Struthio camelus: one gene and its partners. The protein of the gene in region 4 interacts with the protein of the main gene of each other region in a pairwise test. Links are inferred from orthologs where the notes say so. Each region holds a gene or a part of one and is shown on either strand. Other genes may lie near its edges. The genes, in order: PSMF1, BOLL, QKI and RBFOX2.

Evidence for each region.
Region 1: the proteins of RBFOX2 (region 4) and PSMF1 interact in a two-hybrid assay, tested with the Homo sapiens proteins (2 studies listed by BioGRID and IntAct). The two-hybrid records come from large-scale screens. The link is inferred for Struthio camelus from reciprocal best matches to the Homo sapiens genes RBFOX2 and PSMF1.
Region 2: the proteins of RBFOX2 (region 4) and BOLL interact in binary tests that used the Homo sapiens proteins (3 or more experiments, as listed by UniProt). The two-hybrid records come from large-scale screens. The link is inferred for Struthio camelus from reciprocal best matches to the Homo sapiens genes RBFOX2 and BOLL.
Region 3: the proteins of RBFOX2 (region 4) and QKI interact in binary tests that used the Homo sapiens proteins (3 or more experiments, as listed by UniProt). The link is inferred for Struthio camelus from reciprocal best matches to the Homo sapiens genes RBFOX2 and QKI.

The regions. Positions count from the first base shown.
Region 1 is NC_090959.1:18,290,779-18,298,607, reverse strand, and holds the start of PSMF1 (proteasome inhibitor PI31 subunit), read left to right. Parts: upstream 1-4,707; 5' UTR 4,708-4,783; coding exon 4,784-4,912; intron 4,913-7,030; coding exon 7,031-7,183; intron 7,184-7,829. UniProt on the Homo sapiens protein: Plays an important role in control of proteasome function. Inhibits the hydrolysis of protein and peptide substrates by the 20S proteasome. Also inhibits the activation of the proteasome by the proteasome regulatory proteins PA700 and PA28.
Region 2 is NC_090947.1:11,693,188-11,700,549, forward strand, and holds the start of BOLL (protein boule-like), read left to right. Parts: upstream 1-3,980; 5' UTR 3,981-4,092; coding exon 4,093-4,110; intron 4,111-4,556; exon of another isoform or gene 4,557-4,914; intron 4,915-7,362. UniProt on the Homo sapiens protein: Probable RNA-binding protein, which may be required during spermatogenesis. May act by binding to the 3'-UTR of mRNAs and regulating their translation.
Region 3 is NC_090944.1:86,806,827-86,814,517, forward strand, and holds the start of QKI (KH domain-containing RNA-binding protein QKI), read left to right. Parts: upstream 1-4,214; 5' UTR 4,215-4,894; coding exon 4,895-5,036; intron 5,037-7,691. UniProt on the Homo sapiens protein: RNA reader protein, which recognizes and binds specific RNAs, thereby regulating RNA metabolic processes, such as pre-mRNA splicing, circular RNA (circRNA) formation, mRNA export, mRNA stability and/or translation.
Region 4 is NC_090942.1:59,494,383-59,502,757, forward strand, and holds the start of RBFOX2 (RNA binding protein fox-1 homolog 2), read left to right. Parts: upstream 1-5,042; 5' UTR 5,043-5,057; coding exon 5,058-5,273; intron 5,274-8,375. UniProt on the Homo sapiens protein: RNA-binding protein that regulates alternative splicing events by binding to 5'-UGCAUGU-3' elements. Prevents binding of U2AF2 to the 3'-splice site.

The DNA of each region.
Region 1 (7,829 bases), on a different chromosome or scaffold from region 4:
TCCTGGAGCAGGACAATGCCCACGTGAGAGCAAAGGCGGCGGGGAAGTATCCTCAGGCCCGGAGGCCGTGACGGCCACCCCCGGGGTGCTGCCGTGCAGCGCCGGCGCGGGGCCTGCAGGGCCGGCCCTGCCAGCGCCGCGAGGGGCCAGGAGCCTGGCGTGCCCGGGGCCGCGGCGCACCCGAGCCTGGCTCGGGGATGGGCACGTGGCTGCCCCGCCACCGCGCCTGCCTCCGAGGAATTCGTGCCTCCCTCCTCTCACACAGAGCTGCAAGCCGTTTTGACCAGGGGAAGGGAAAATAAAGTAAGTCACACCCCAAATATTAGGTCTCTTGCAAAAACCCTGCCTGCCCGAAGGAATCCTCAAGCTGGTCCAAGGGTGGGAGAGGAAGGATCCCAGCCTTCAGCTCCAATTAGAAGATCTTCCCCTGACAAAACAAAACAGCCAGCAAGTTACTTAACTTCTGTGTTGACTAGGCTGGCTTTACCGTGCTCCTGCCTTATAGCCTGGAGTCTGGCTTGGCACACGGACGCAACGTATGGAGGGACAGCTGGACCACGAGATAAGGCCGCAGGGGGACAAGCGGTGGGACAGCAGCTCATGGGGATGGGTGGGAGGGTGGATAAACTGGCGGTTGGGTGGACAGGGGTGGTAGTAAGGTGGATGGAAAAACTCAAGCTCGATAAGCACTTCGCATAACTTTGTGTACAAACTCCTGTGCCCTGTCTTCTCACTCAGGGACCGCTATTTCCTAGAATTTGCAGTTCCTAATTATTCGCACACTCGTGGACCTTCCAGCAGGCGAGGGTGAATCCCCGCTAACCACTCCAGCTGTGCCCAGGCGGGTCTCTAGCTTGCATGGTGCATTTTCAGTTCTGTGATAAGATGGGCCAGGATTGAGGATCAGCTTTCTGGAGGAAAGACTCATGATTTCCGCCTCAGGAGAGGACACTCGAACGAAGCCACCAGGAGTCGGGGGGGGGGCGGGGGGCATCTGGTACACCACTCGGCACACAGGGGAAGGCTGTGCCTGAAAAGAGAAATGTGGATGCCATTAAAGCCTGCAAACCACCACTGCTGCCCATCAGAAATGAGCCACGGGATGGGCGGACGGAAATTCTGCCTGTTGTGAATCACGAGCCCAGTACTGGAAAGGCTCCGGCTCAGGCATTTCCTGCCATTATCATTGAACCCTGATCAGATGCTTCTTTTACTAAGCAGACATCTCCGTAGGCTACATTGCCCAAGCCACCCCACGGGAGGGCTTTCGCCCTGTCCAACGCGCGGGGGAGCCCCGAGTCCCCCGCCAGCCCTGCGCCCAGTGAGACCTGCTCCACCTCGCTGGCATCTCTGCGGCTATTTGCACCGGCCCTGGCTCTGCACCTATCCAAGTGCTGTCTGGGTGCCCATCTCCCATTGAGGCCACCGAGGTCTCGGGACAGGTTGCCCTCCGTCCCCTCGTCGCACCAGCGATCCTGACCCAGCGGTTTCCCAAGCGGAGCGGGAGCCTCCCGGCATCGCCTCCTTCCTGCCGCACCTTCCCCGGCAGCGGTGCCCGGCGAGGGGCTGCGGGGCTGACGGCCGTGCCACGTCCCCAGGCTGTACGCAGCCTACTGCTGCGGGACTCCCGCCCACCTTCCCACCCAAGAAACACGGCATGTTGGCCACGCTCCGCTGCCTGCTTACACACGAGCAAAGAAGCTACCAGGAAGGTCTGGAGTCCTGCACACATGCGATGAAACCCGGGCCCTGTTGAAATCAGTGGCAACTTTCCTACTGATTTCCACACGAGCAGAATTTCACACTTGGCTCCCAAGCCCTGTCCCTCTTCCGCGGAGCCAGCACTGACGGGTGAGATTAGCAAGAGGTGTAATGTTTCCGCAGCCACCGGGGAGATGACTCATGTGAAGGGCAACGCTCAAGGAGCTCCTTGCGAGGAAGGCCCTACGGTCTGCGGTCAATTGTTCTGCTTCAATGACTTCTTGAGAGGGAAATGGAAAGAGTGGCCTGTGCGTTAATTAATAAATGCATAATGAAGTCAAGATGAGTCAGAGCATCCCAAAGGAGTTGGAGCTCAGCTGCTGCTCAGCAGCAGATCACGGCTTTCCCCAGCACTGGGCTGCTTCATCCAAGGGATTGCTCCAGCCTCACATCCTGCCACTGGCATCGATAGGGTCCCAGCAGTGGTGGCAGCTCCTGGCCTCATGCTGGGCAGAGGAGCCACAGAGAAAACCGCCTCGGATCCACAATCAGTTCAGAAAAAATAAGTCCCTGACTACGTTTCAATGGCAACTTTAACAAGAACTGAAGTGTTGTAAATAACGTGGCCCAGAGAGAGGAGCTGGGGAAGGAATGGAAATAACCCTGGTAATAGCAGTTCAGCCTTTTGTTCCCCCCGGGACAGGTGCCTCAGGGAAGCCGGAGCAAACACCAAATATAAGAGGGCATTTGAATGCATACGGCACTATTCTTTTGTCTTTTTCTTAACTTTCCAGCAAATGCTTTGGTCACGGGCTGACGCTTGGTTAGGAAGAGCCTGGGCTGCAGGAAAGCACGGGGAAGCAGGCAGATCTCAACCAAGCGAGACTCCCAGGCGCACGGCTGGAACGCGAGGCCGCTTTGGAGACCCCGCGACCACGCTGCACAGCCAAGCTGGGGTGATGGCACGGGGAAATTACTGAGCGAGCCCTTCCACATACGCAGTCTCCAGATCCGCAGCCACAAGGGAGCAAGTGTGCACGCAGATGAGTCCCACACATACAGATTTTTCTTGTACATGAAGAAGTACTAAATGTCTCAGAATAAAAAAACAAGCCTTGTGATGTCAAAGAGGGAACGCATCAGCCCCGGGCTGCAGATAACCCCAATTCACTGGAGCGGAAGGACTGGAGCTGCATCGCCGGTCATATCCTGGCAGGTCACTAGAAAACCTGATGCGGCAGCAATATTATATTCTTCCCTGCGTTGCAGGTGGAACACGATGTCCCTCCCAGCCCCGGCAGATACGGCCCGCCCTGCCCTCGGCTGGGTGGTTACATTTTCTTTCAAGAAACTCTTTGGTTCCCCTTTAACGCTCCGAGGAGACGAGGGAAAACAGGTCAATCCTGCACAGCAGAAACCAGTGGCAAGGAAAGGCGCCGAGAAAAATAAATCGTATCAAACGATGTGCCGCCGGCGGAGCTACCGAGGGAGGACGTCGGAGCAGCCCCGCGGAGCGGCAGGTAAAGGATGCCGAAGGGGTTTCTGCGCCAACGGGCAGGTAGCAAGAGAGACGTGGGGGACGGACGGGAGTTATCAGACGGGCCCCGCGGCGAGGCTCTGGCAGGGATCCGCGCGCTGCCGGCCCCGCGGCGGCCACGGCAGGAAGCCCCACGTAACGCCCGGTTGGGAAACCGGCCCCGACGCGGGCCGCCCCGGGGACGGGACGGGACGGGACGGGGGGAGCCCGGCCCCTCGGGGGGCAGCAGGCTCCCCAGCGCTGCCGACGGCCGGAGCCACCCGAGGTTTTGCGCGAGGGACGAGGGCCCTCTAGCGAGTGCGCGTCTCCCCGCCGGAGCGACGGCTGCTCCCGGGGGGCCCCGAAAGGCTGTGCCGAGGCCGGGGCGCCCCGAGCTCCCCGCAGGCGCCCGTGCGGGGCTCCATCCGGGGGCTGCCCCCCCCCCCACCCGCACTGGGGAGCTTCTGTGGCCCCCGCCCCAACGCCGGGACCTGGCTGGGGGGGGGGGGCTGCCGGCTGCCCCCCCCCAACTGCGGGGGGCCAGGCCACGGGCTGGGCACCCACAGTCCAGCCCCAAAGCCTGGCCCCACACCTGACCCGGGAGCCCACAGCCTGGCCCCAAAACTGAGCCCAACCCCACACCCCAGCTCAGCCCTACAGCATAGCCCCACAAGTAAGCCTAGACCCCACAGCCCAGCCTGGCCCCCCCGGCCCAGCTCGGCCCCACAGCCCAGCCTGGCCCTACAGTCCAGCCCCCCAGCCCAGCCCAGCCCCTCGGCCCAGCTCAGCCCCATAGCCAAGCCTGGCCCAGCCTGGCCGCACAGCCCAGCCTAGCCCCATAGCGCAGCCTGGCCCCACAGCCCAGCCTCCTGGCCCAGCTCAGCCCCACAGCCCAGCCTGGCCCCACAGCCCAGCCCCACAGCCCAGCCCAGCCCAGCCCCATGGCCAAACTCAGCCCCACAGCCCCGGCCTGGCCCCACAGCCCAGCCCCCTGGCCCAGCCCAGCCCCATGGCCAAACTCAGCCCCACAGCCCCGGCCTGGCCCCACAGCCCAGCCCCCTGGCCCAGCCCAGCCCCATGGCCAAACTCAGCCCCACAGCCCCGGCCTGGCCCCACAGCCCAGCCCCCTGGCCCAGCTCAGCCCCATGGCCAAACTCAGCCCCATAGCCCAGCCCCCTGGCCCAGCCCGGCCCCCCAGGCCCAGCCCCTAGGCCTCGTCCGGCCCCATAGTGTAGCCCAGCCCGGCCCCCCAGCCCGGCCCCTCGGCCCCGCCTGGCCCCATAGCGCAGCGCAGCCCGGCCCCCCAGGCCCGGGCCCCCGCCCCCGTCTGACCCCATAGCGCAGCCCGGCCCCTCGGCCCCGTCCGGGCCCACAGCGCAGCGCAGCGCAGCCCGGCCCCTCGGCCCCGCCTGGCCCCATAGCGCGGCCCGGCCCGGCCCCTCGGCCCCGCCTGGCCCCATAGCGCGGCCCGGCCCGGCCCCCCGGGCTCCCCGCTGCTGGCCCCGCCCCGCCCGGCCGGGCCGGTCGCTGCCGCGGGCCCGGCGGCTGCTGGCTGCGGGCGGCGCCATGGCCGGGCTGGAGCCGCTCTACGCCTGGGCGCGGGCCGCCATCTCCCGCCCGCAGGACGCGCTGCTCTGCGGCATCCACTGGGAGCTGGTGCGGCACGGCTACCGCTGCCTCGGCGCCGGCGACCAGGTACCGCCCGGCCCGGCCCGGCCCGGCCCGGCCCGGCCGCCGCGCAGGCCCCGCCGGCCCCGGCCTTTCCCAGCGCCGCTCGCCGCCGCCGCGCCCGGGGCCTGCCGGGGCCTGCGCCGCCCTGCGCGGCCGCGGGCCGTCCGGGGGGGGGGTCCCGCTGGTCCGGGGGGGGGTCCCGCTGGTCCGGGGGGGGGCCTAGTGCTGGAGGGGGGGCCCGGTGTGGGGAGAGACCCGATCCTCGAGGGACCCGGTGCTGGGGGGGATCTCGGTGATCGGGGGGGGGTTGGACCCGGTGCTGGGGGGGATCTCGGTGCTCGGGGGGGGGGGTCCCGGTGCTGGGGGGGGGGTTGGACCCGGTGCTGGGGGGGATCTCGGTGCTCGGGGGGGGGGTCCCGGTGCTGGGGGGGGGGGTTGGACCCGGTGCTGGTGGGGATCTCGGTGCTCAGGGGGGGTCCCGGTGCTAGGGGGGGGGGTTGGACCCGGTGCTGGGGGGGGGTCCCGGTGCTGGGGGGGGTTGGACCCGGTGCTGGGGGGGATCTCGGTGCTCGGGGGCGGGGGGGTCCCGGTGCTCGGGGGGGGGGTCCCGGTGCTGGGGGGGGGTTGGACCCGGTGCTGGGGGGGGGTCTCGGTGCTCGGGGGGGGGGTCTCGGTGCTGGGGGGGGTTGGACCCGGTGCTGGGGGGGATCTCGGTGCTCGGGGGGGGGGTCCCGGTGCTGGGGGGGGTTGGACCCGGTGCTGGGGGGGATCTCGGTGCTCGGGGGGGGGGTCCCAGTGCTGTGGGGGGGTTGGACCCGGTGCTGGGGGGGATCTCGGTGCTCGGGGGGGGTCTCGGTGCTGGGGGGGGGGTTGGACCCGGTGCTGGGGGGGATCTCGGTGCTCCGGGGGAGGGTCCCGGTGTTAGGGGGGGAGGGGGTGGACCCGGTGCTGGGGGGGGGGGGTCCCGGTGCTGGGGGGGGGTTGGACCCGGTGCTGGGGGGGATCTCGGTGCTCGAGGGGGGGGGTCCCGGTGCCGGGGAGGGTTGGACCTGGTGCTGGCGGGGATCTCGGTGCTCCGCAGGGGGGGTCCCGGTGCTCGGGGGGGCATCCCGGTGGTCCGAGGTGGGGGTCCCAGTGCTGGAGGGAGGGCCCGGTGTGGAGAGAGACCCGATGCTCCCGGGTCCCGATGCTCCCGGGCGGGGGGGTCTAGGTGTTGGGGGAGGGCCCGGTGTTCGTAGGGTCCCGGTGCTGCGGGGGGATCCCGGTGATCGGAGGGACCCAGTGCTGAAGGGGGGGCTCTAGTGCTGGGGGGAGTCCTGGTGTGCAGAGAGACCCAGTGCTGGGGGGATCCTGGTGCTGGGGGAGTCCCCACGCTCGGGAGGTGCTCGAGGGTCCTGGTGCTCGGGGGGGATCCCAGTGCTTGGGGGGTCCCCATGCTCGGGAGGAGCTCCTGGTGCTGGGGGGGGTCCTGGTGCTGGGGGGGGGTCCCGGTGTGCAGAGAGACCTGGTGCTCGAGGGTCCTGGTGCTCGGGGTGGAGGGGTCTCCAGTGCTGGAGGTTCCTGGTGCTGGGGGGGAGGTCCTGGTGCTGGGGGGGTCCCAGTGCAGTGCTCCCAAGAGGAGTCTGCAGTGCGGTGGGGTCTCTGGGTTGGGGGGCTGGTGTGGTGCTGGGAGGGGGGGGTCCAAGCCCCTGACTGGTGCGGGACTGGGGATAGGCAGTGGTTGGGGTGCAGGGTGCTGTCCCAGCCAAGAAACACCTGGGTGCTGGGGAGGGGGCAGCCCGCAGCAATGCCCCCCGGCAGTGACCGCCCTGGGGCTGGCACAAACGGGGCAACAGTTCCCTGGGCAGCTCTGTCCCACGCTGGGGGGGGCCGAGAGGTGTTGGTCAGCGAAGAACATCGTCCCCTCCTCTGCGTCTTCCTAGCTGGCAAAGGGTGGTTGTGTCCCTCCCGTTGCAGCCCAGGGGTCCCGTGGGGCAGTTGGGCCCTGCTCCTGCTGTCGAACTCTGGAAGGCAGGGACAGATCCCTGCAGGAGATGTGGATCTCCTCCCAGATCTCTCCACACAGCCAGGACAAGTTTTCTTGGCCCTGCAGCAATTTGGTCTGGTGGTCAGGGTCTCAGCAGCCTATCTGTCTTCCTGTAGCCAGGTCCCGATGAAAGGAAGTCAGAATTGCTGCCAACCGGCTGGCAGGCCAACAAGGAGCTGTACACACTGCGGTACAAGTCCACGGATGATTCCCGTGAGCTGCTGCTGAAGGCGATCATGGTGGAAGACAGCATGATCCTCAATGTCATGGTGAGCATCAGGGCTGGTCCTTGCCGGCATTGTGGCCCTCCAGGTGCAGCGGTCACGTTCATCCAAAATGCCCTGGGTGCAAAGAACAGCAGGGCCCATTTTTAAAATGTTTTGCTTCTACTTGTTAGACCTTGAAGCAGCATTTGTTCCTCATTTGTCCCGACTGTGGAGTTTGCATGGGGCAGACTCTGGCTGTAAAGCAATAAGTTATAGCCTGCAAACCTGCCCGTGCGGTAGCACATGTGACTGCATCAGCACAGGGAGGCGGTTTGCTTTGCACGCTCTGGCCCAGTAGCTGCCCCTTTTGTGTCCCTTTATCAGGTCAGGATGTATTTCTAGATCGTTTGCCCTGTCCCCACTGAGCATCTGCCCAGGGATTCTTTGCCTTGTGCCATGGCCCCAGGCTGCACCACAGGATTTCTGTCTTTGACCCTTTACGGCCCAGACTGGGGTAGCCAGTAGGGAGAGCCTGGCTGGCACTGGAGTTTGTGCGCTCTGGGGAATTCAGGCACTGCACAGTGATGTGGGCAGAAAGCAGGCGAGCCCCGTTGCTTGTGCATCCCGAGACCTTGCCTGCGGTCACACCTGCTCCCTCCTTCATTCCTGGTTCTGCCTTGCTGCTGACTCCATGTTTCGCCTGTCCTTT
Region 2 (7,362 bases), on a different chromosome or scaffold from region 4:
CCTGGAATCAAAGCCATTTTGTCTGATGACCATCAGATGATTTAGGAAATGAAGTAACTCTTTACCTTGTAAGAAGAGCTCTGTAATATGATGGCAGCATAAGCTGATATTAAGTCACGCTTATATCCATTTACCTTTACACTTCCAAAGCAATCAAGGTCTGATTTATACTTTTTTTCTTGCAAGTAATTTTTTTCCCCACTTTTGTTTCATAGTACATATCAATTGTTTACAGTCTTTTCTACTCATTTATTTGTCTGCAGAATTTTACATTCAGTTCAATGAACTATGTAAAATATAATACTATGACAACTGCAAAAGAATATTGAAAAAATATAATTTATCAACGTCAAGTTCAGCATTGATTTTTTGTTTGAATAAAGGAAACATAGTAGAGCAAAACGAGAGGAAAAACCAATCAAGTCTGTCACACTAAGTTAATGTAAATCAGGAGTCTGATGATTTTCTCTTCACCCACCTAATTGGAGACCTATTAAAATTTCCGTGTGACACGCGTCTATGGTGTCTTGTTGAAGGACTATGCTTGTATAATACATAAAGGAATCAGATTTCTCAGTAGACCTATTTAGGTGTTCATATTAATAATCTCATTATCAGATTAAACAAAGGACTCCGTAGTTCAAGAGCAGGAGTATCTGTTGCTACTCAGATAAGAGATGTATCAACATGTACAAACCTGCACTAATTATTTGTAGTATAATTCTTCCATTTGCTAGGGACATTTAGGAAAGGATTGATAATCTTTACAATTTGACTCCTAACAGGCAAATACAGATGCCACCACACTTGGAAGTACTTTTCTGGTTTTGGCTCTTTTAGCAATACCATGTTTTAGCTGTGACAAGAAGTTTGATCAGCAATAGAACTTGTAAGCAGCAGTTTCAAGTAAGTTTCTTCCTCCTTGAGGACATGTAAAATAAAACACATACAGACTCCTTTACAAGTAAAGCATATATTCTGAGCTCTGAAGTGAGACAGAAGGATGCCAGTCTTAAGTACTGCCTCCAATAACCTATGTCATGCTGAGCATTACTTTTGGAAAATAAAACATTTTTAAACGAAGGTATAACATCTAAATAAGTCTTAAAATTTCAAAGAAATCTGGAGATGTCCTGATACATTTTGAGCTAGAAACAATCTATGATGGTGTTAATGTTAATGAATGAGGATGCTTGGGTTACGCAGTCACAATCTACCACCTTGGGGAAACAGTAGGGGGAGAGTAGTCCAGCCTACTGATCGCCAAGTCTTCCGCTCCTCTGAGTCATCCATCACTGAGGGTGGGGAAAATGTGAGACGTGACAGAAATGAGGAAATCAATTCTCAGCAGAGCAGCTGGTCAGTTTGACAGAGCCTTAGGAAACAGGCTGAAGCAGAGCTCGACAGAGATGGCTGCAGAGGCTTTAATAAAGGGGTGGAAAACATCAGTGAAGCAGTCGGATGAGGAAAGGGGGGCACAGACAAGAGGATGAAGGCGAGAGTTTTATTAGGGGATTCAGGCACAAAGTGGGAGGCACAGACAAAGCGCAGAGAGAATGGTAAAAACTGAGGCGAGGACAGAAGGAGTTACTGCTCCTTTAGAAGGGAGATGTGCAGAACTAGAGTGAGAATGGGGATGGTGTGGGAAAAGAGCCTCTAGGATGAGAAAGTCCTATCCGAGAAATACACACACACCCATTTGAATGAATAGAAAACTTCCCGGAAATGAGTCATTTCCTTCAGCATTTTTCACATGGCACTGCCCACAACTTTTTTGTTCAATTGTGCTATCTAGATGACCACCGTAATAGGCTTCTAAAGACTATAGCTACTCTCTTAGAAGGTTTCCTCAACCTCCTTGAGCATCTAGAGCTCTCCTTTTTTTGGTTGTTCTGGATAAGGCTCACAGTGTAGAGAATCTATTCACAAGCTTGTAAGAGAAATTGCTGCATACATCTTTATAAATTACAGATTTTTTTCATACAATTGTATCCTATGCAACAGAGACAAAAGTCAATCTTTTAGTAACATCCTATGAGACGTTTTTATGAAATTGAGAGCAGGAAGGAACTAATCTTTCATCAGGTGCAGCCTGGCTCCCCCTGTCTAATAAAAATGTATTAATGCTCATATTCCCATGAAAGGATGTTAAGATGCTGGTAAGTAAGCTAGCATTATTATCTGCATTTTACGGATAAGCAATAGAAGCAAAGGAGGTGGCGTGTCTTCTCCAAGGTCAAGCCATCCATCAGTGAAACAGTAGTCTGTTACCAGGCCCATGTATTACTCATAAAATCATCCTTGACTTTTTGTGCTTTTTCCTCCTTTCCCCTCCCAAATCGTTTCCCCCCCCTCTTTTGCTCTCTCCTTTATCTTTCCATGCTTAACCTCCGACTTTCTCTCGTCTCTCTGATCCTATAAAGAAAGGACAAAAGGTGAGAGCCTACAGGAACCAGCACAGCGGGACTCTTGTCTTTGTCCAGCGCTGGCTTTTAATTTGTGGGAGAGAGCCAGGGGGAGAGAGCACTTCATGCTGCTTGTGTTGCTGACATGCAGAGTCAGGAAAAGCTGGCACACGCCTATCTGCCTTTGAGAATGGCTTCCTAAGTCGGGACGCTCGGCCCTTAACCAGGCAGCCGCGTCGCGCCACAGCAGCCTCGCCACTTTTGTGGTCATATTTCAGTCCCGTGTGCGTGGCAACATATTTTGCCAGCTCTGCTTGTAATATTATTAAATTTGTGGATTTTCGGGTTTTCAGATTTAAAAGTATCAGAATAAAAAATAGATCAATCATCTTCCTCATTTACTTGCGAAACTCCTATTTTTGTCACAATTGCCTCATTTTAAATGCAAGATGTCCAAGATTTAGGCTTTTAACCCGAGGAGGAGGTGTAAGGTGGAAGCTCCAGCAATTAAAACCGTGCAAAAGACACTTTCATGCCTCCGAATGTTTCTGTGTTCTTTCAGCTGTTCTGACTTTGAATTCCCCAACTCCCAATATGAAGCACATGAAAGACGTGGCCCGTTCTGCCACGCAGATCATTAAAACGTGGTGCTGTTCTTCGGATAAGCTTTGCTGCTGTGTGATGCATGTTCATGAAAGTAGGTCAGTGAATACAACTCAGCAGAACTCTGTATTTTAAAAACAACCATTATTTCTTTCTAAGAACCTCACCAGCTGGGCTGAAGTTGCCTTTATTTTTATATGGGTTTCTCAGAGAGCTAAAAAGATCACTACTAAGAGTTAAGCGGTAACCTGTTACCGACGCAGATTTAGTAGTTTTTAAGTAATTCGCCGTGATAACGATAACGCTGCGGGAAGCGGCAGAAGCCGCAGCAGCACCAGAGAGGCAAGACACCGCGCAGGACCGCAGCAGCACCGACCGCCCGGCAGCTCTTTAAGCTCAAGAGGGAGGTCCCTGCTGTAAAGCTACCCGGGAAGCACTGCCAGTCTTAGGCTGATGCGGAGCTGCTCCGGCCCAAGGGCGGTTTAGCAGCGGAGCTATTTTCAGGGCACCTGGCATGTGCGAGCGGGACGAAGCGCGCAGGCGGCAGTTGGGGACGCGGCGGCAGGGGCACCGCGGCCCCCCCGGCCCCGGGAGGCGCCGAGGCGGCCGCCCGGCCGCTGACTGACAGCGCCAGCAGGTGCCGGCCATGGCGGGGGGCGCCCGGCCGCGGCGGGGCAGCGGCTGCCCGGTCGCCGCGATAGGGCCGGGGCGCGGGGGCGGGGGGGGGCGCGGGGCGGTGCCGGGCGCGGGGCCCGGCGGGGGCAGCCGGCGGCTGCGGCGGGGCGGGGAGGGGGGGAACCCCGCGGGGGCGGCTGGGTCCCTCCCGGGTCACTTTGCGCCGGGCTTCGTCCCTCAACCCTGGTATCAACGCGCGCCTGGGCCCGCTCGCCCCTCAGGGCCGCCCCCTAGTAGCCGGGGCGCCGGCGGTTGGGCTGCTCGCTGGCCCCCGCCCCCCGCCCGCTTCCCGGGCCCGCCCGATCGCCTCCCGCCGCCCTTCCCCCGCGCTGCGCCGCCGCCGCCCGCCGAGGAGCGAGACGCGTGCCGGCAACGTGCGGCGGGGCCGCGGGGCCGCGCCCGGACGCAGATGGAGCCCGACGGCACGGTGACGAGCGGGCCGAGGCGGGCGCGGGGTAGCGAGGGCGGCCGGGCCGGGCCGGGGGGAGCCGCTCCTGCGGGAGGGGAGGGGAGCGCGGCGCGGCGCGGCGGGGCTGGGCAGGGCGGCGCCGCGGCCCGTCCCTCGCCCTGAGGGGCCGGGGCGAGGGCGGCCCTGGGCACGGCCCGGCCGGGCACGGCTTTCCCGCCAAAAGCGCGCGCGGGGGGAGGGGCAGCGCGCGCCGCCCCCGCGCCTGAGGGCGGTTGGTGCCGCCTCAGAGGAGCCGGGCGCGGGCGGCCTCGGCCCCCCTCGGGGCTGCCCGTCCGCCCGCCCGTCCGCCCCCCCGTGCCCTAAACGTGCGCCCGACGGCGGCTGTGCTGCGGTGGCGCCCGGCACAGCCCTTGGGAAGGCCGTTTTGTGGGAGAGGGCGGCGGCTGTCGCCTGTAACGGCTTGGGGAGCGCAGCCGGCCTGTGCCGCAGGGAGCTGAGCGCTCCCGCGCGTTTCCTGCAGCCCGAGAGCCGCCGCCGCCGGCGCCTCGCGTTGAGATGCGGCTAGCTGGGGTGTCCCAGCGGAGCCGCTGTCCTTTCGGCACGTACATAGCTGCAGGAGCAACACAGTAAATACCTGGGAGACGCCGATGACTTAACTTTCGACGTTGTAAGACGGAGGCGGTAAAGAGAAGGAGGAGTTTTATCGGAAGGTGGAAGCAGTCCCCTGGTTTTGCGTGGTTTCGTGTAGCGGCTTTCTGACCGTGGATGTATTCAGCATGAAAATAAAAACTTGTCAGTGCTGGCAAAGAACAGTTGCCAAACGTACTAAGTCAGGCATAGCAGATCTGTTGGATTTGTGTATATACAGTGTTTTAAAAGTCAGATGATGAAAACTTAAGTGAATTTTAAAAAAAGCATAAATGCACGAATGATTAGGCAAGTGATAGGACCTTAGCATAAAGATCTCTTTTATCCTGTTTTCTTACTGCTACAATGGCATTAAGGCAAGGAAACACCGCTTAAGCGAATTGTCAAAATGCAAGTTTCAGTGTTTTTTAAAAAGTCTTTCTTATACTGTATAAGAGAGTTCATAATTGATGTGTTTAATTACTCATTTCTTTTTTTTTTATGTGAGGCACTTAAAATTCTTAAGACTTGTGTAGGAAAGTGAAATGGGAGATCTTTGAGATAAGGAACACGTTTTTTGTTGTGGTGTCAAGTATTACTTTCGTAGTTAGATTTTAATAATGTATTTCTAAGCACAGTCTCCAGATAATTACAGAAATAAAATGGTGTGTCCATTTTAACAGATGAAGAAAGTAACCTGCTTCATCGTCCTTCTAAGGTTGCTCTCTACAGAAGACTTTCTTTCTTCTAAAGCTTTCAGGACTGTGGGTCTAAGATTGTGTCACATGCATGTGCCAAGAGCATCCAGTGCAGCCAAAACAAGGTCCAGAAAGGGCTGAGGAGAGCTCTCCCTGTTTCTCATTACTAAAGCAGTTTATGAACAGAGAGAGTTGGTGGCAAGCAGAGGCCAGGACGCTGTATTTTCCACATTACCACTATCTACTTGAGACTGGTGAATGTAATATTAGTATATAACAGATGACAACTTCAATTTCGATAATTTTTTTGGGTTTTCTTTCCTTTCTGAACTTTGCAGGAGATGGAAAAGTCATAGGAAAGACTAATCTCAGTACGGATAGTGTGAGGCACACAGTGCTCCCATAACAAGGGGCTGAGGATAATAATAGTGAAGTTGTGTCTGCACACCACAGGTGATGGAAATGACTTTCTGAGGAGTATTGCCCTTTTGATACGAGTAGACCGCCAGGATTTCAGTTCAAGAGAGGAAGTTCATGCAGCTTTAAAGTATTTATAATTTTATGTTATGATGACGGTTATCTTACTGAATTTGGACCTGGTTGTACGAGATCCCTCTCTTGCAAGGTACCGTTGTGACGACCAAGATTACGTGTAGAAAGGAATAGTCTACATTAAAATGTAAAATGCTTTTTTCTTCGGGTTAGACGCTTACTACTGACGTTACTGAGTTTTGTTCATACTAGTGCAAAAAATGCAAAATCACTTGACCCTCAGTGAACGGTACATGTTTATCACGTAAGTAATACGTGATAATTGCTAATAATTGTGAGTTATTTACACAGATGTACCAGAGCCACAGGCACTTGGAAGTTGGAAGAATACTTCAGAGGGAGGTATTCTGTGTGTGCCCTGTTCTTCTTTTTTTCTGTAGCCATTTCATTTTTCACAAGTGTCAAAATCCAGTGGACTGCGTGGGCATGGGGCTTTGGTTTGACCCAGTATGGTTGCTCTAATGTAGGATTTACGTTATCTGGAAGGATTATGTTTAAAAGGATTATGTTACGTCCCTTATTATGGGATTCAGATTGAATGTAATTTTTGCGCAGAGAAAGATGATCACTCCTGAACAGAACACTGTGTGCTGTTTAACATGTTAAACAGATTTCAGAACGTAAGCCAAATTTTGTTTAAAAATATTAGAATTTTTGGATGAGGCCTTTCAGTTATCCTTTCTTGAATCTGTAGATGCTGGGAATAATTTACAGTAGTAGGTCAGCTTTGCCTAGTTTGTGTCAGGTTATTTTGTGAATGATTGGCCCTACCTGTGAAGATTGATAAGCTGTAGTATCAGAGCCTTTGCTGGTACGCAGCAACAGATTTGGAGCCGCTGTAGTCCACGGTTCGTGGTATCTCCTTCTATCTAGGTGTATATATATATTGCTGTTTACGTTATTTCTTCTTAACGCTCGTTAACTGCTGAATATCCATCAAATTTAGTCGTACCACAGTGTATTTAATTAGCTGAGTGTTGGGACAAGATTTGTGTCATCTAAAAACATCACAGCTAGTCACAGATGGGAGAGGGAATAGTATAAGTCATTATCGTTGCCTAAGAATCCAAAGAGCAGTGCAATTTAGGGAAGTACAAGATTTTTAAATCCTTGGATAGATGAAATAGGCCTTCAAAATACAACACCCACCAGTTCGAAGCTGCTTACTACATCAGCTGTGTTTTTCACATTGAATCGGTCATCTTGTCACCAGAGCCTCAGCTAGACTGGTAGAAGAGGCTAAAACATTTGTTGTATTAGCATATTGGTATACTTTAGCCTCTGTACGTGTTGCAGACTCCTTTATTTAAATGAGTATTAAACCAGAGGGTAGATGAGAAGCACCCTTCTGCATCCTCTCAAAAAGCAATTTAGAGTTATCAGAGGAGTTTTC
Region 3 (7,691 bases), on a different chromosome or scaffold from region 4:
TTACTCCATTCACATGTTAATCACCTTCCAGAGATCAATGAAGATTCAATGTCCACCTGGTAGTGGCCATGTCTAACTGCTGCATCCCAAATGCAGTGTTTTATATACCACAAACAAGTCAATACTGGATGACAAACGCACCTAAAGTGGTCTTTTTCCTTAAGTGACCGTAAGGGGTAATTGAAGAATTGCTTCTTTCCCTAAAGAAGGGAGGTACTGTTACCTTACTGTTTCAGATAGTATTTGCAGAAAGCTGATGATGTCCAGCTGCAAATGCCTATGACTTGGTCTAGTGCCTCTGTTAGCACGTAGAAGAGATTACAGACTAGTAGGCTTATAGGCTGGAAGACACAACCAACAGAAACAGTGGAAGCAACAGCCAACATTAACTGAAAGAGTATGTTTCCCAGTAGTCATCAGCCTTCAGCTCTCCTATTTCCCAAGCTGCTATCAGATATGAATGTTATAACAGTAATTGAGTTTGCTTTTTATGATCAGTGCAAGGGCTTTACTGTAATACGCAGAGGCTGCTGCTGGAATTATCACAGTTTTTCTTATTTCAAGATTAGATTAACGCAATAAAACTTCACCCCTTAAAAGAGAAACTGCTGGAGAATACTGCAGCTTGAATGGTACAGGAAGGGCTACCTAGATGAAAGCACAGGGGTTAAAGATCTGTATTTCTGCTTGTGTCCCCACAGAATTTAAAGTTTTGGGTTGTTATCTACAGAACTATAAATAGGATCTGGTTACAAAAACAAAAAAAGTCCACATATTTTTCCCCTCATGGGAAAGTAACAAAATCCAGTACAGTGCAACAGCATTTCTAGCTCCTCTGTAGATCAGGCTCCAGGCACGTCAGTCTTCATGGGAGCTCTGAGTTTCACAGCCCTTTAACCAGAACTACTTCTACCTGCGTCTTCCACGCACTCTTAAAATCCCCTTTCTGGGGCATGGAAGTGCAGGAACGAAGAGACAGAGAGGAACATGAGAAGGTATGCTTGGAAAGACTTTTAGATAACTTTGTTTTTACTGTATACGTGATAAAGTAAGATGTCACACTGATGTGCTTATTTAAAACTAATGGTGAGCTATCTGCAATACTTATTGCCAAAACATTTAGCTTCTCTGAAGGTATCTTCCCAATGAATTAAAAATTCACAGTCTTAAAAATATTTGTGGAAAGATGAAGGATGAGAATTTTTCCTAAGTCAGTTATGCCTAATTATATTGGCAGTTTCAGCACATAGATTTGACTCAATTTTTGCACTATTTAGACCGAGAAGACAAATCAGATTAACACAGAGTAAACTAGAGCTTGAATTTTGCAAGGCAATAGCTATTCCTCAGTAACTGCTGGTGTGCATCATCTTATTCCCCGCTAAATAATGTAACATAGCTTAGGGATGAGCTGTTTTGTTTCTATTGGTAAGTAAAACAACTGGCAGTTACCATTCAATAACTTTTGCTAGCATTTCTTACCTTAAATTATGTGCTTGTTTTCTCTGTGCATATTCACACACTGTAAGCACCTTATGTGCAGGGAGCACTGGGAACAGCTGCACTAAATCTGCTGGAAAAAAGTCTCCATTTGCTATTTTTACTATGAGAATTGGCACTCCAGAACAATTATTCTGATATTATCTAAGTTCATCTCATTTTATCATGAAGGACTGCTGGCTGAGTGATATCCTTAATCAAATTGAAGGATTTAATAACAAGTTTTCTTAGGGTTATAAAGAGCTTTCACTCACTGGGTGAAAAACAAGTAAATAAATGGCTACAAGCAAATGCATCATCTTTCAGACTGATCTGCAATGATGACATGCAGGGATGACAGTTTTGTTAGGCCTATAAGGTGTGTTCTGGCTTTAGGCACAACTTTAAAGCAAGAGGGGGGGAAAAAAAGCAATTGTATCTTCATTATTAAATGGGGTATTGTTTCGTGATCCATAGCCATACTGCAGCGTACTTCAGGCATGCTGTTCATGGACTAAGAATCTAAACTGAAGAAAAAACCAGCTCATAACATTGTTACTCTCTCCTTGGTAATAAAACTAGTAGGTGTTTTTACTTGAGTATACAGGGGTTGTGTTTTTTGAATGATGCAACCAATAAATATGACTTATCTTATATAAGTAAATAAATATTACATAGCATAAATCCAAAAAATTCTCTTGTTTTAAAGAGTTCTAAATGTTTACAACAGAAGAATCCAACATGCAACAGAAAGGACGCAATAATCTAAGGCAGTTTTACTAATACGAGAGCTACACTTTCTCTAAATTTTTGTCAATGCGTATCTTTTAGAAAAAGTACAACAGCAGTGCTTGACAACACCCAATAAAACTGCACACTTGTCAAGAAGACAATGCGGTTGTGCTTCTTTTTAGTTTTGGAAGAAGTACTTATGATGAACTCAGTTTTTCAATTTTCTTCAAATACTGTGCGGTACATATGACATTACATATGAATTCTGTATCAACTTCAAGCAATATCTAGACTCATATACTCCTACAACAAGCAGTATCTAGACATATATACGCGTACAGCAGGGGCCACTGCACGGCAAGGCACATGAACAATGACTGCGTGATTTCAGTGAACTAGAAGAAGTGTGAAAGGAAAATATTTTATCCAGTTTTATAATATAAGTTCTTCCAAATTACTTATAATTGCATCAAGGTCTTCTGATGATATCCTAAATAATAAAAATCAAACAAGAACATCAAGTAGCAGCATGGGGAAGGCGACGACGACCAGGAACACATACAAACAATCGCGTCAAGCTGCTTTGCCTCTGCGGCTACAGTGGAGCACGTTAATTTTGATTCTGGCTGCCAGACTCTGCTTCTCCCATCACGTCTCCCACCCAAACCCCCCAAACAAGCTTCGAGTGATTCGCGTCCAACTCCCTGCCGGTAAGGCTCGGGCGCCGGGGCAGTGCCGCGCCGGGGACCTGCACGGTGGTCCGCGCTGCCGAGGACCGAGCCGGGCCCAGCCTCCGCGGGCGCTGCTGGCGGCCGCGGAGCGCCGAGGCGGGCGGATGGTGCCGTTGGCACGCGGCACAACGCAGCAGCACCCGCCGGGTGCGGGGGCCGCCGCTTCTCCGGCGTCGGTCGGGCTCGCGGGGGGGGGGGGAGGGGGCGTGCGTCTGGAAGGCTAGACCGGCACCGCCTGTCTTCCTCCTTCGCCCCGCGCCAGCGCAGCCAGCCAGCCAGCGCCTCCCGCAACGGTCCGCTCCGCGCCGTTCGAACGGGGCCGTTAAACCGCTCCCGCAGCGCGCGGAGAGCGGCACACGCCACCTGTCCCAGCGGGGTGGCTGGGGGGAGGGGGCGCGCTACACCCCCCCCCTTCTCCTCTGCCTTCCCCCGGGGGCTGGTCACAGCGCCGTCCCGCAAGGCCTACTGCCAGGGAGCTCCCTCCAACCCGGCCGCGGCCCCCAGTACCTCAGCCCCGCGCCGCTTTCTCCTCCTGCCCCCACGGCCGCTTTAAGGATTAGAAATTGCTCCTCGTGCCGCGCAGCCACGCGCACCGCCCACAGCCCGCGGGCGCATGCGCGACGCAGTCAGCCGCCCCTCCCCGCCCCCGCCCAGCTCGTTTCCCCTCTGCCGCGCGAGGCGGCAGCCGCGTTGTAAACGAAAGGCGCACGCGCGTCTCGGCGCGGCCCGTCCCCGCCCCTTGGGTACCCACGTGACCCAGTTCCCCCCCCCCCCCCCCCCCCCCCCGCGCGGAATCGGTGAAGTAACAGGACTTTGTTTAGAAGAGTTTCTGTGCGCGCGCGTGTTTCTACGGAGCCAGCCGGGAGGCGGGGGGGGAGGGGAGGGGCGCGGGAGCCGCACGCGACGCTCCGCGCCGCGCCCGCGCGCTTGCGCCACCTATCCGCGCGCACACGCTCGGAGGGGCGGGGCCGGGGGAGAGATACCCCCCCTCCTCCGCATCGGGCCCGCGGCTCGCCGCCCCTCCCCCCGCCGAGCTGCGGCCGCCGCCGCCGCCCAAGGGGCTCGGAGCGGAAAGGGAGCGACGGTTGGCTCCGCCAAGCGGCGCTGCCACCGCCGCTTAACGGCCGCCCCGCCCCTGCGCCCGCCCCTCGGCGTGTGCCCACCCCCGCGGGCCCTGCCCCCTCCCCTCCTCCTGCCGCCGCTGCTGCTGCCGCTGCCAGCGCAGCCTGAACTGAAGCGAACTCCGGAGCGAACTGAGGAGAAGTGAGGAGGCGGCGGCGGGGCTGACACTCACCAGCCACAGGCGGCGGCGGCGGCGGCGGCGGGAGGGCGGGCGGGCCGGCGGGAGGCGGAGAGGACACACCAGGCGCAGCGCGGCGGCAACAGCAGCAGCGGCGGCGGCAACAGCAGCAGCAGCGAAGAAACACCGGCGGCGGCTCCTCGGAAGCGGCAGCCTCGCCAGCAGCGCCCGCCCGCCCCGCTCGGCCCCCCTCCTCCCTCCCCCGCCGCGGAGACAGCGGGCAGCGCCGAGGAGAGAAGCCGGGCTCAGCGTGTGTGTGTGCGCGGGAGGAGGAGGAGGAGGGGGGGAACACATCGAGGACTGCGCCGGCCGAGGGCGCACGGAGCAGGGAAGCGGCCCCGGCGGCGGCAGCAGCACCGAGAAGAGGCGGCGGCGGGTCCTTGTGCCCGGGGAGGAGGGCGCAGCCCGCGAGGGGGTTTCTGTCGAGTTTCCTCTTTTTTTCGGTCCCTTGGACTCGGCGGCCGGTTTGCGTTTGTCTCCGGATTTGAATCCTCCTCCTTCTCCTCCTTCCTCGGGGAAGCTCCCCTCCCCGCCCCCTCCCCTCCCCCACCACCTCCCTGCCCGCTCGGATCCAGCCGGGCGCCCCGTGCCGCGGTCGCGTTGCTCGGCGGAGCTGGTGCGGGCGCTCGCCGTCTCTGCGCGCGTTTGGAATATGGTTGGGGAAATGGAAACCAAGGAGAAGCCGAAGCCGAGCCCCGATTACCTGATGCAGCTCATGAACGACAAGAAGCTGATGAGCAGCCTCCCCAACTTCTGTGGGATCTTCAACCACCTCGAGAGGCTGCTGGACGAAGGTAAAAGCGCTTCCCTGCCCCCTCTCTCCCGCTCCGCCGCCCTGCCTTGCCTCCCCCACCCCTTGCCTGGGCCTCCAGGCTGCTCTCGGGCTCCCGCTCTGCCCCCTCGCCCCTGCCCCGACAGGCCCGGGGTGGCCGTGGGGAGTTTGGGGCCTGTTTGCCTCTCCCTCTCTCTTTCTCTCGCTGGTGTTCATCGCTCGTTCTCGGCCCTCGCCTGAGCCCTTAAAACAAAGGGGAAGTGTGGGATCTCCCCGCCCTGATTCCTGGCTTGTGGTATTGGGGGACTTGGCGAGAGAGTGGGAGGGGAAGAGGGAGCCCTGAGTGTACAGGTCCCTGTTTTTTTTTTTTTGTTGTTGTTGTTGGTTGTTTTTTTTTCCGCGCTGTCTCCTAAAACCGGGGGAAGGGTGACTACCACATGGAGGGGAGGGAGCGAGTAGAGACGAGGAGAGGAGCTCAGGAATGTGCTTTGGGGGAAGGTAGGGGAGGAGGGGAAAGCGTTGTTTGCAACGCTGCGTGGCTCCCCGTTCACGGCGGAAAGTATTGGGAGAAGAGAAGGGTCCTGTGCGGTGCGTTTTGTGGGAGTGTTAGCCGACTCGCTCGGAGGGCCTGGAGCAAGGGGGTTGGGAGGGTGTTTGGTTTCGAGATTTGGCTGTTCTGGAAGCTGCTTGAACTTGAATGACTAAGGCCGAGGGGGCCGAGCTCTTTCTTCAGCTCCAGCACTACCCCACCCCAAACTGGCCACAAACTAATTACAATTTTCCTATATTGCAAGAGAAGCGAGCGAATTCGACTGTCGGCTATTCTTACCTTTTAAAGAAACTAACTTGAAAGACTCCTACGTATGACTTTAGTGAAAAAAAGAAATTACGAAATTGCCTCCTCTGCTGCTGCCAAACGTCCACTGCTGCCTCTAACCCCGGCGCCGTCTGCAGCCCCGCACCCAATTCCTGCTTCGAAGTGATGAGAGGCCGCTCATGTGGGTTGGCGCCCCCCCCCCCACTTTTTTTTTAATAGCTTCTTTTAAGGGTGCGTCTTTACAAATATATGGCTACGTTTTGAAATACGTTAAAAGCTAGAAACTTCATGCGTCCCATACGTTTTCCCCTACAGTGGCAGACTACTGTGTTGAAAATAAGGCGACCCATTTCTTCTTGGTATATTGGATTAGCTTTGTTTGGGTTCACAGATTTGCCTTTCTTTTTAAAAGATTTTCCTTCCCTACCATCTAAACCTTGGCTTTCCGGAAAGTGAGAACTGTTTAACTCTACAAATTTTATAAAGCTACCGAATAAAAACAGAAGTTACTTATGCAGCTTCAACTTCTTGAGAATCTTAGCATGAAATACTGAGTTTCGAGATTTTGAGTTAGGATTTTTGCTTGTAGCCGTATTCCTCCTGGTTAAACGAACTTTGGGAAGTTGTTGACCTCGGAAGATGAAAGAGCTGGTTATATTTGATAGAACAACTCCCCGCCCTCTCCAAAGACTGTAAAAATGAGATAGCAACTGGAGTACAACAGAAAATAGCATATTGAGAAAACTCGACTTTCTGAAATAAATGATAGAGGAGTTTTTTTTAAAAAAAAAAAACAAGTAGAGAATATTAACATAAAAATAGAATCTCCCCATATATAGCTTCCCGTAGTCCGTCTTTTAAAGAATTTGATAAGCTGTAAATTCACTATAAATTTTACTTTTCAAATCTGTGTGTTCTGCTATTTAGAACATGTTTTCTATGGTGATGGAGAACATGACATATTTGGAATAATTAGCAAGGTTTATAATAAACATCAAGAAGAAACTTGACCAAGAAGACTTTTTAGCACAAATGAGCTTTTCATACATTTTAATTTTTTTTTAATTCCTAAATCTCTTGAAGTTTATGTATTTAGCCAGAGAAGGCCTCAAACTTATTTTGTCAAAGAACAAAAGGAAGAGAAACGTCCCAGATAAGGAAAGGACACAGGGGAAAAAAGGAATGTCTAGAGCCTTGCATCTTTTGAGATTGTTTAAATTCAGGAAGCTCTGGAAATCTCTGTTTTGTGAAGTATTAGAATCCAAAAATGAGGGATGTGGAGACTCTTGCAGAAGACGCTCTTTTAAGAGTTAGTAGTGCTGAAGCTATTCTTCACCCCTTCTTAAAAAAAAAAAATTATCTGTATTTCTAAATAGCTTCAGAAAGAATTCTGCTATCCCTTTAAGCTTTTTTGCTTTTCCTGTTTACGTTGGCAATTGGGTGGAAGTATTGTGGAGTCAGAAAACTTTTTGGAATGTTGAAAAAAATGTTTCATGCAAATCTAGTAAATTGCTTCAAGACTTAAAAATGTGAACACTAAGGGGCGCCAGTTATTTTTTTTTCTGAGACCAGGAAACTGGTTTCGAGGCCCATTACTAACCTCAATAGTGAAATTAAAAAATCTAATAGAAGATAATGAAGAGTGACAAAATATTTGTGGATTCATTCAGGTATCTATACTTGTATGCACTTCCGTATATTGTCTGTTTATATGCAGCATTACATAGGTGAAATATAGTGATTTACAGCTGAGAAGTTAGAGCAACAGCTGACACAAATCACAACAGTGTGAGAGGATGTTCTTTAAAACATCTCTCCTGGTTATCAAAGAGATACCATGTTGAATGTCTTTAACTCAAT
Region 4 (8,375 bases):
TGTTTTTCTGGTCTGTGTCCCCATGCGCTCTCTGTGGCACCTCTGTGGTTCACACCATTTATCTTGAGCTGGTCAGCCCCACTTTCTCAACATAAAAGCAAAAGACCTTTTGTTTCCCATGCAAGGTCTTCGCAGTTATCTATTATCATATGTTTGGGGGACTGTAGTTCCTTTGCAGAACTAGTTATAAGGTCCCTTCATATTAGGAGTGCTGAAAGACCTACTTAATTCCTTGCCCTTACAGGCATAAGCAGTGCAGGCAGAAAGCATCTTTATGCTAACTGCATATATGCAGATAACTGCATCTGCACTGCAGGTGTCGTACGGCTTTAGCAGGATTGGTATACTTGAAATGACGCAACTTTGGTACATGATGATACCCCACAGAAGCACAGGCCTATTGGTAATTAGCAGCAATGAAAATAGCACTTCAGCAAGGCTTGAAGCAGGTAGGAAAATAACAAGGCATGGCTACACAGGGAAGTTTTGCTAGGAGCTCTTTGGTGGTTCCTGGCTGTCTCCATTGCTACGTCGCTGGAGCGCCGAGGTGCTCAATGGTGTTTGCTGAAGCCCAATGTCCTCACTGCAAGAGGTGGCCCTGGCAAAAGACCAGGTGCATTGTGGGTGTCGACTTGCTGACTGACCGCTGCCAGCACTGTTGCGTCAGAGTAACATATCAATATTGGCCTCCTGCCACAGCTTGAGGACTGGCATCCTTCATACAGACAGTTTAAGTCAGATGACAAAAACTTCAAATTTTGTTGACTTACGTTATGTATTTTTGGCTGTGTGCTAACCTGTGACAAGAAAAGGCAACTTCTGTTAATAAAACTTAGTTCTGAAGAGCCAGCTATAGATAAGCAAGGAGAAATATTTACCCATGCTTCTCACTAAGGAAAGCTGTATCACACTTCCTGTGAAACTTGGACCAAAGTGCAGGCAGAAACTTTACCTCAGCTGCTCTTCGCTACCTGTGGGAGTATTGCTGTCAGGAGGAAGAGCTTTGGCTCCAAGATCTTGGCTGGCAGGATAGAAGCAGCAGAAATGAGCAGGGCTGGGCAAACTATTAAATCTCCACTGACCCGTTTAGCAGAGAGATAAAATCCCCTGGGAAGGAGAGGGGGCAAAGCTGCAGGAGGCTGAGCGGGCAAGAGGAGCTGGTGAGGTCAACAGGGTGAGACGTCGTATGCAGACAATGGAAACAGCAAGAAACCCTTCTCTGTTGTGGCGGTGAAGGGAAGAGATTCACTCTGAACTGTCTCCTAATGATTCCTATGCCATTGGGTCAAATACTAATAGCTGAGTTTGTGCCTCATTTCCTGCCGGTTCCTTAGAGCTTACGTGAGTCATTGCCTCTGCTCCACCAGAGCACCATAGTGAGATTCAACTCCCTGTACTTCTACAGAGCTTTCAAACTCAGTGTTGTCCTGATGCCACCTGATCTTCAGGCCAATGGGAGCACCAAAACATATTCCTTCAAGTCCCTTCAGAGGGCGCCTTTCTAGGAAAAAGAAAAAGAAAAAAAACTTTAGTCTAAAATGATGTGTATTTGTTCAGAAAGATATATTCTTCACACCAATTTCTGAGCGTTCCTCTGTAAGGATAATGTTTAATATAGCTGCCTCTTTTTGGTTTGTCAAAGATTAAGCGTTGGTGAGTGCTCCACAAACTTGTGCATAAAATAATGGCATGTAGGAGTCAGGCAAGAGTGCTGCGCAGCAATGAAAGGGTTAACAGAAGAATCAGATGTCTGTTTAGTATGTCTCAGATGTCACATACAAATACCTAAAAGGCAGCTGGGTTGTGTGAAAGGAAATCAATGGATTACCAGCATAGTCCCAGCTCAAAAGCTTTTTTGTGACTTCAGGAATGCCTTATACCCCTTCCGTTAAATGGAGACAGTATCTATCCCACAAGCATATTGTGAAGACTAAATCATTAATCTTTTTTAAGTGCAAATGGAAAAAGCTAGAGAAATAATAATACCAAATATCATTTCAATAATGACAGAAAGCAGATGACTGCACTCAGTATACCAGTCATAACTGCAGGTCACTGCAGTGGTTAGGGCACAGTACCTTCCTTGCCTTAGCTTTTTTCATTGCTGAGGGTGCTCTGTGCTATGCAGTTGTCCTGGACTCCTTCGCTTGCAGGCTGCCAACCACAGCCAGCTGAAGATGCCTGACCAGGGGCCCTGCCTACACACTGTGGGCTCCCCTGGGCGCTCTTCTGCAGAGCAGGCCATGTGAGCATGGGGTGTGAGGGGAAACCGGCAGCAACTTTGACATGTGTATGGCAGGAGCTGGTGGAAACGGGACTAGGGGAAGATAAAGAGAAAAATGGAGCCTGGGCACCACTGAACAACTCCTTCTTTTGATATTCCTCAAGGGGAATATCAGGCAGACACATATATGGCAGAGGGTTTACTGCTAACTTTTCTTCAGGCTGGCTCCCTTAAAAATGAAGCATTCTGCAGTGTCTGATAGGCAAGATCTTAATCTGTAATAGTCATCTAGAATGTCCCAGTAAAATACTAGTTATGGAAGGTGCATGCAGATGAAGAGAAATACAGAAATGCTTCTCATCGAATGAGTAGCACCCTAATCATGAGAATCTCTCTTCTTTTCAAGTCAAGGGTGGAGTGAACATGTTCATTCAATGTTGTTTGACAGTCTGGCTCATTTTATCAAACCCAGTCAAGATGAATGAGACATGTGTTTACCCTTGGTGGGCGAGCAGACAAAAACTACATGTAATTGTCCTCCGGGTGCCTGCCACTCCATGGGGATTTGTAATCATTTTGGAAAAAAAGAGATTTCCCTGTCACCGGAAGAGACAAGCTGGCACCTTGTTGCAAAAACGTACCACTTAAAATAGTTTTTAACGTGGCCTTGAAAACTATTTTTGGATCAGAAAGAATGTGGTGTATGGGCAGACTGGAGTCAAGTATTGTAACTGTCATTCAAAATCAAAGGCTCGATCATTTCATGAAGATCAGCAGATGAGTAAAGATACACCAAGATAATCCAATTGTTCCATAGGCTTCAACACATACAGTGATATCTGAAAAGTCAAGAAGGGTTTCTTGTCATGTGTGTTGACATACGCTGACCACCTCCATTCCTGGTTTTCTCCTTTTCAAGTGTTGACCATCAGAGGAAGAATACCCATTCCCATGCCATAATAAAACCAACTGCATGTTTGTATTAGGATCTGCAGATTAGTTCTCCATCAAGTTACCAAAGCTTCCAAACTAGTTTCAGGATAGCAAAAGCTGCTTGTGTTCTCCTTTCTCTAGAACAGACATTGTCCTTGGTGCTACCAGACAGCAGCTGTGCAGTAAAATCAACTTCACATTCATGCTAAGGATTCAAAATTTGGTTCTTAAAATCAAAAACACGGAGGAGTATAAAAGAGCTGATGAACTTTGGCTTCAAGTTTAAATACTGATGTCTACATCTGGTTGCAAGTCATTTGCAGGAAAACAAGTTAGGAGTTATGTAGAAAAACGCAGGAGAATCCCACCGAGGCTATTATAAAAACAGATCAGCCACTTTCTGCAGAAATCAGAGACCAGCACTGTGAGACGTGCCCTAGAGTGAGCTTCCCAGAACCGTACAGAGGAAGCCCGGAAACATTCAGGAGAAAAGACGCATGCCCTGAGCGACAGGACGCTACCCTGAGCTGGAGCACCGTCAGGTACCAAGTTGGGCAGAGCATCCTTACAGAAGCCTGACACCCCTAAAGCAGGGGATTGGGTCACTAATTCTCACCTGCAGATTTGCCTTAGCTCAGTACTACTCCTACAGGCAAATCTGTGCTTGTAACCGTGGAAACCTCTCCCCGAAAAACAGCCCTGAAACATGGATGAGCCTTTGGTAGGGGCTTTGAGGATACGTCTCTGCCACGAGGGGCTGGGGATCTGCATCCTTGCCCCCAGCGCAACTGCTCCAGCAGGCGGGCAGCCCTGCTGTACAGGATCCTGCATCTCCTGCAGTCTGCTCCAAGATTTATCAGCCAAAATATAACATCTCTAGCCCAGCCTCGTTACAAAAGGCTTCGAGCAGGCGAAGATGAAACCACTTTTATGTGCAGCACACCTTAAACCCTGTGATGATTCCCCACACAGATACTTGTACAGCGGGACAAAAAAACCTGCTTTCAGCTCAGCATATGCTTCACGGCCAGGGGACGAGACAGACCAGAATCTATTGGTGTAAGAGCACCATCCCCGCGGTGTTACACAGCCTCGTCTCTGCTGAAACCCCAAACGTGCCCGTCCTACAGAGGAGCAGGTGGCGAGGGGCAGAGAAGGAGCCAACGGGGGACGCTGTGGGGTGTCAGCGACCGCCCGGAAACCTCCCCGCAGTGGGGCAGAGGGACGCAGCAGCCAAGGCCCGCCCCGCGGACAGGCGCAAGGCAGGCGGGGAGCGGGGCACCGAGGGCAGGCGGCGGGCCAGGCCCCAGCTCGGCCTGAGGGGCCGCGGGCAGGCCTCGCAGGCGGCCGGCGGGCCTCGGAGGCGGCGACCCCGCAGGGCGGGCACCGCCTGGGGCCAACGCGGCGCCCCGGCTGCTCGCGCAAGGACCGGGGGCTTCGCGGCGGCGGAGGGGGACGGGGAGGGAGGCCCGCGCCGGGCGGCCATTTCCCCGCCGCCCCGTGCGGCGCGATAGCGGCGGCGGCGGCGGCGGCGGCGGCGGCGGCCGGGCGCCCTGCGGCCCGCGCTGGCCCCGCCCCACCCCGAGGCCCCGCCCCCGCCCGTCGCCGAAGGTTGCCGAGCGAGGGTCGCGCTGCTTCGGCGCCTCGGCCGCCGTTTCCGGAGATTGCCGAGGGGCTTCGGCCCCTCCCCGGCCGCCGCCGAGCCCGTGACCGAGCCGCTCCGGTGGGTCCGAGCCCGCCGCGCCCGGAGCTGTGGTAGCGGGGCCGGCGCTCGCCCGCCTCCTCCTCCTCCTCCGCCTCCTCCGCCGCCGTCGCCGCTGGCGGGGCCGGGCGTCGTGGTGACAGAGCGGGGCGATCGCGGCGGGGCGGCGGGGGGGCGGCCGGGGCTCCGGCGGCGCGGATGGCGGAGGGCGGCCAGCCCCCGCAGCAGCAGCAGCAGCAGCAACAGCAGCAGCAGCAGCAGCCGCAGCTCCTGGCCGGCGGCGGCGGCGGGGCCGCCCGCGGCGTGAAGCGGGAGCCGGAGCTGGAGCAGCCCATGCCCGGCGGGGACGGCGCCGAGGGCGGCCACAGCAAGAGGCTGCGGACGGAGGGGGAGGCCGACGGTGGCGGCATGCAGGTAGCGGGCCGGGCCGGTAGCGGGAGGGAAAGCGGGCTGCCCGGGGCGGCCCTGGCGCGGACACAGCGACACGCACACGCACACACACCGACACGCACACACACACGCGGTGGGTTTGTCGGCGCTGGGAAATACAATGGCGGGGGGGCGCCCCCGGGCGGGGGGGGAGGGGGACATCCCTGCCCCTCGCTCCGGCTCTCCGCCCCTGCTGGCGGCTAGGAACGATGGGCAGGATTTGGACTGGCTTGTTTCTTAATTATATGTATTATTTTATCTTAATTTTATCTTAATTTTATCTTAATTTTATCTTAATTTTATCTTAATTTTATCTTAATTTTATCTTAATTTTATCATTTCTTGCAGTTTGTCCGTTGCCCTAAAAAGAACGCTCTGCGCAAGCTACGCCTGTGCTTTCTTCCTAGGGAAGCCCCTTCCTGATTCTTGAGAACTATAATAGCGCCTAAAGAGACAAAATAAATCCTGTAGAACCGCTGCTATCTCTTGCCGCTCTTCTCCTTTAAAGGAATTGCTCTCCTTTAGCATATTTCTGTCTGCCACATCTCATAAGTGTCTTAATCTGAGTGACCAGACACTCCTCTGTGCCTCTGTTGTCCCAGACCAGGGATGAGTTATTTGTTATGGATTTAATTTGCTACCTCCTTACCCGTAATTTTTCCAGTTGAGTGAGAAAGCGTGCATGTTGGCTAGCTGATGCTCGTTGGAAGTATAGTACAAAGCATGTTGCGGTGGGATATTTAGCGTATGGAGTAGAGGTGTCGAATAACACAAGGGATAACGTGAATTAACGAGGAGGATCAGGTCTCTTATCAGATGCCTTCTCTGGCATAGACAGAGATCTACGTGAGTTTTACGAATTCAGCTGAGCATGTGTTATTGCAATGTACGGTTTTCATTTCTGAGGGGATGGTCCTGTTTGATGCTAGATAGGCCTTCAGTGCTCCTGTCATTGCATTTCCCTCCGTGGCTCTAGATTCTGCAAAAGTACTGATGGCTCTGCCTTGAGAGGCTGTGGAAAGGAGTGGCGAAAGAAAACATTCAACGCGCGGTACATGCGTAACATGGAGCATGTTAAAGACCAATGATGCTTTATCCATTCTCTTTTGATTCTTTGTCTGTAAATGATAAGGAATAATTTCAGGTGCTTCTTGGGAACAGAGAAAGGGGTCTTAGGACATCATGTGAGAGAGTCTTCCAGTTTGGGAAAGAGAATGATGACTTTGGATAAGAGATTAAGTTCCTGTCTTCTGTTCCTTACACATTTTGATCATCACTGAAGGATTGGTCTTTACTTTTCCAGATGCATTTGCTTTTGCATTTGGGTGGGGGGGGTATAGGGAGTTAAAGATATTTCTATTTTCTGTTGTCTGTATGTTATGTGTGATTTAATTATGGCAGTTCAGTTGGTGCTTTTTTGCTTCTGTTTCTTGCAACAGATATGTTAGAGTTCTTTGAAGATGGTGTGATTTATTCAACTAAAGTTATTTCTGTTCTCACTTTTGCTTGGGCTGGTCTATCCTGTTCACCGGAGAGAATTCTGTCCTCTGTAATGTGTTTCTCTTCTGATCTAGATGCTAATTGCTGACCAACTATTTTCCCTTTTTATTTTCTAGGCTGTCCCCACATTGCACACTCAAGACTCTTTTTTTTTAAACGCCTTACAGCAGGAGGGTTTTGTTTGTACTTCTGTTTGATGTTTAGCCTTTCATGGTGGTCTCTACACCGCACAGAACTGCTTTTTCAGCCAGTCTGATGTTGAGAGCTAAACATAGGTTGGAGCTTCACACCTGAATGCTGTGTCTCATGCTCCCATACGGCCCAGTGAGAAGCACGCTATGCTCTTTTACTCCTTGAAATAGTATCTTCTCCCACACATAGGTGTAAAGTATGACTCAGACAATGTGCATAATTACAAGGCAAAGATGCTCAATATTGAAGAAATGCTTGTGCGTTGTGTATAGTTAGAGAATTATGAATGAATGTATCAACCCAGTGAAAGGGAATTTTTCTAGGTCTTAGGAGTTGGTCGGAGGCATAGGTCCTGGGTAGCTATGTGAGATGTGTCAGTTCAACTACAATTAGTGGTTAAATATTGATGTAAGCCAGTGGCAAATCATTTGAAAATTGCCCGCAAAGGGACTTGAACTGGTTTAACTAACCGTCTTAAAATTTGATATTTGTGTAAACTAGTACAATTTGTAAGTACAGAAAAGGCTCCCCTTTAGATTTAAATGAGGAAAGCATTTTGCTATCTGTTCAATGAATAGTACAAAATAGTGAGGTTAGAGCATTTACCCATGGGACTATCACCGTGTACGCACAACAATGCATAATGCTGTTACTAGTAGTAAAGATTAATTATGGATCTGAGCAGAGAGTTGAATTGTTTGTGGTTTTCCATATTGTAAGCCGGCAAACAGTTATGGTTCTAGCAGTACTGAGGGAAAAATAGTTGGAGAAATGCATTTAGTAGAATTCATTTTTAAAATTAAGTTTATTCCATATGCCTATTCTTCAGAGTAGGAGCTCCATATCCTAGTTGTTTAGTATTCTTAGTATGATATAAATCTTTTCTCTAAGTTTTGCTATAAATTTTTTTTTTTCTTGCCAGATGTTTCACTCTAACATTTTTTAGGCTTAAAGAGAGTGATGTGTTTGTTTGGAGACTCTTTTCATAGTTGTAAGTGCAAAATACTAAATATGATGCCAATCTTACAAATAATTTCTTAGCTAGGAAGATGTGTTTTTTAATAATTTAAAAAGTCTATATTCTTTTAACCAAAAGTCAAAACTTATCATAAGGTTGCCGTTCATGAGGATTTCTGTTCAGATAGTATAATCTGTTGAAGTATCTTATTACTTCTTTTTAGTAAATTGTCCATGTTTAACTTAAGTAGTGCTTACAAAAGTAATTAAGAGCCTATTCTTTGAGAAAGAGAGAGAGAGAAAGAGAGAGAGAGATACAAATACATAAATAATTCTTTTTTCCTCGCATGTACCAGAGGCTTTCTGGAAGTTATTCCTAACATCAGCAACTGCTGTACCTTGTTTTTCCTGCAGATCCTGTCAATTTTCTACTTCCTC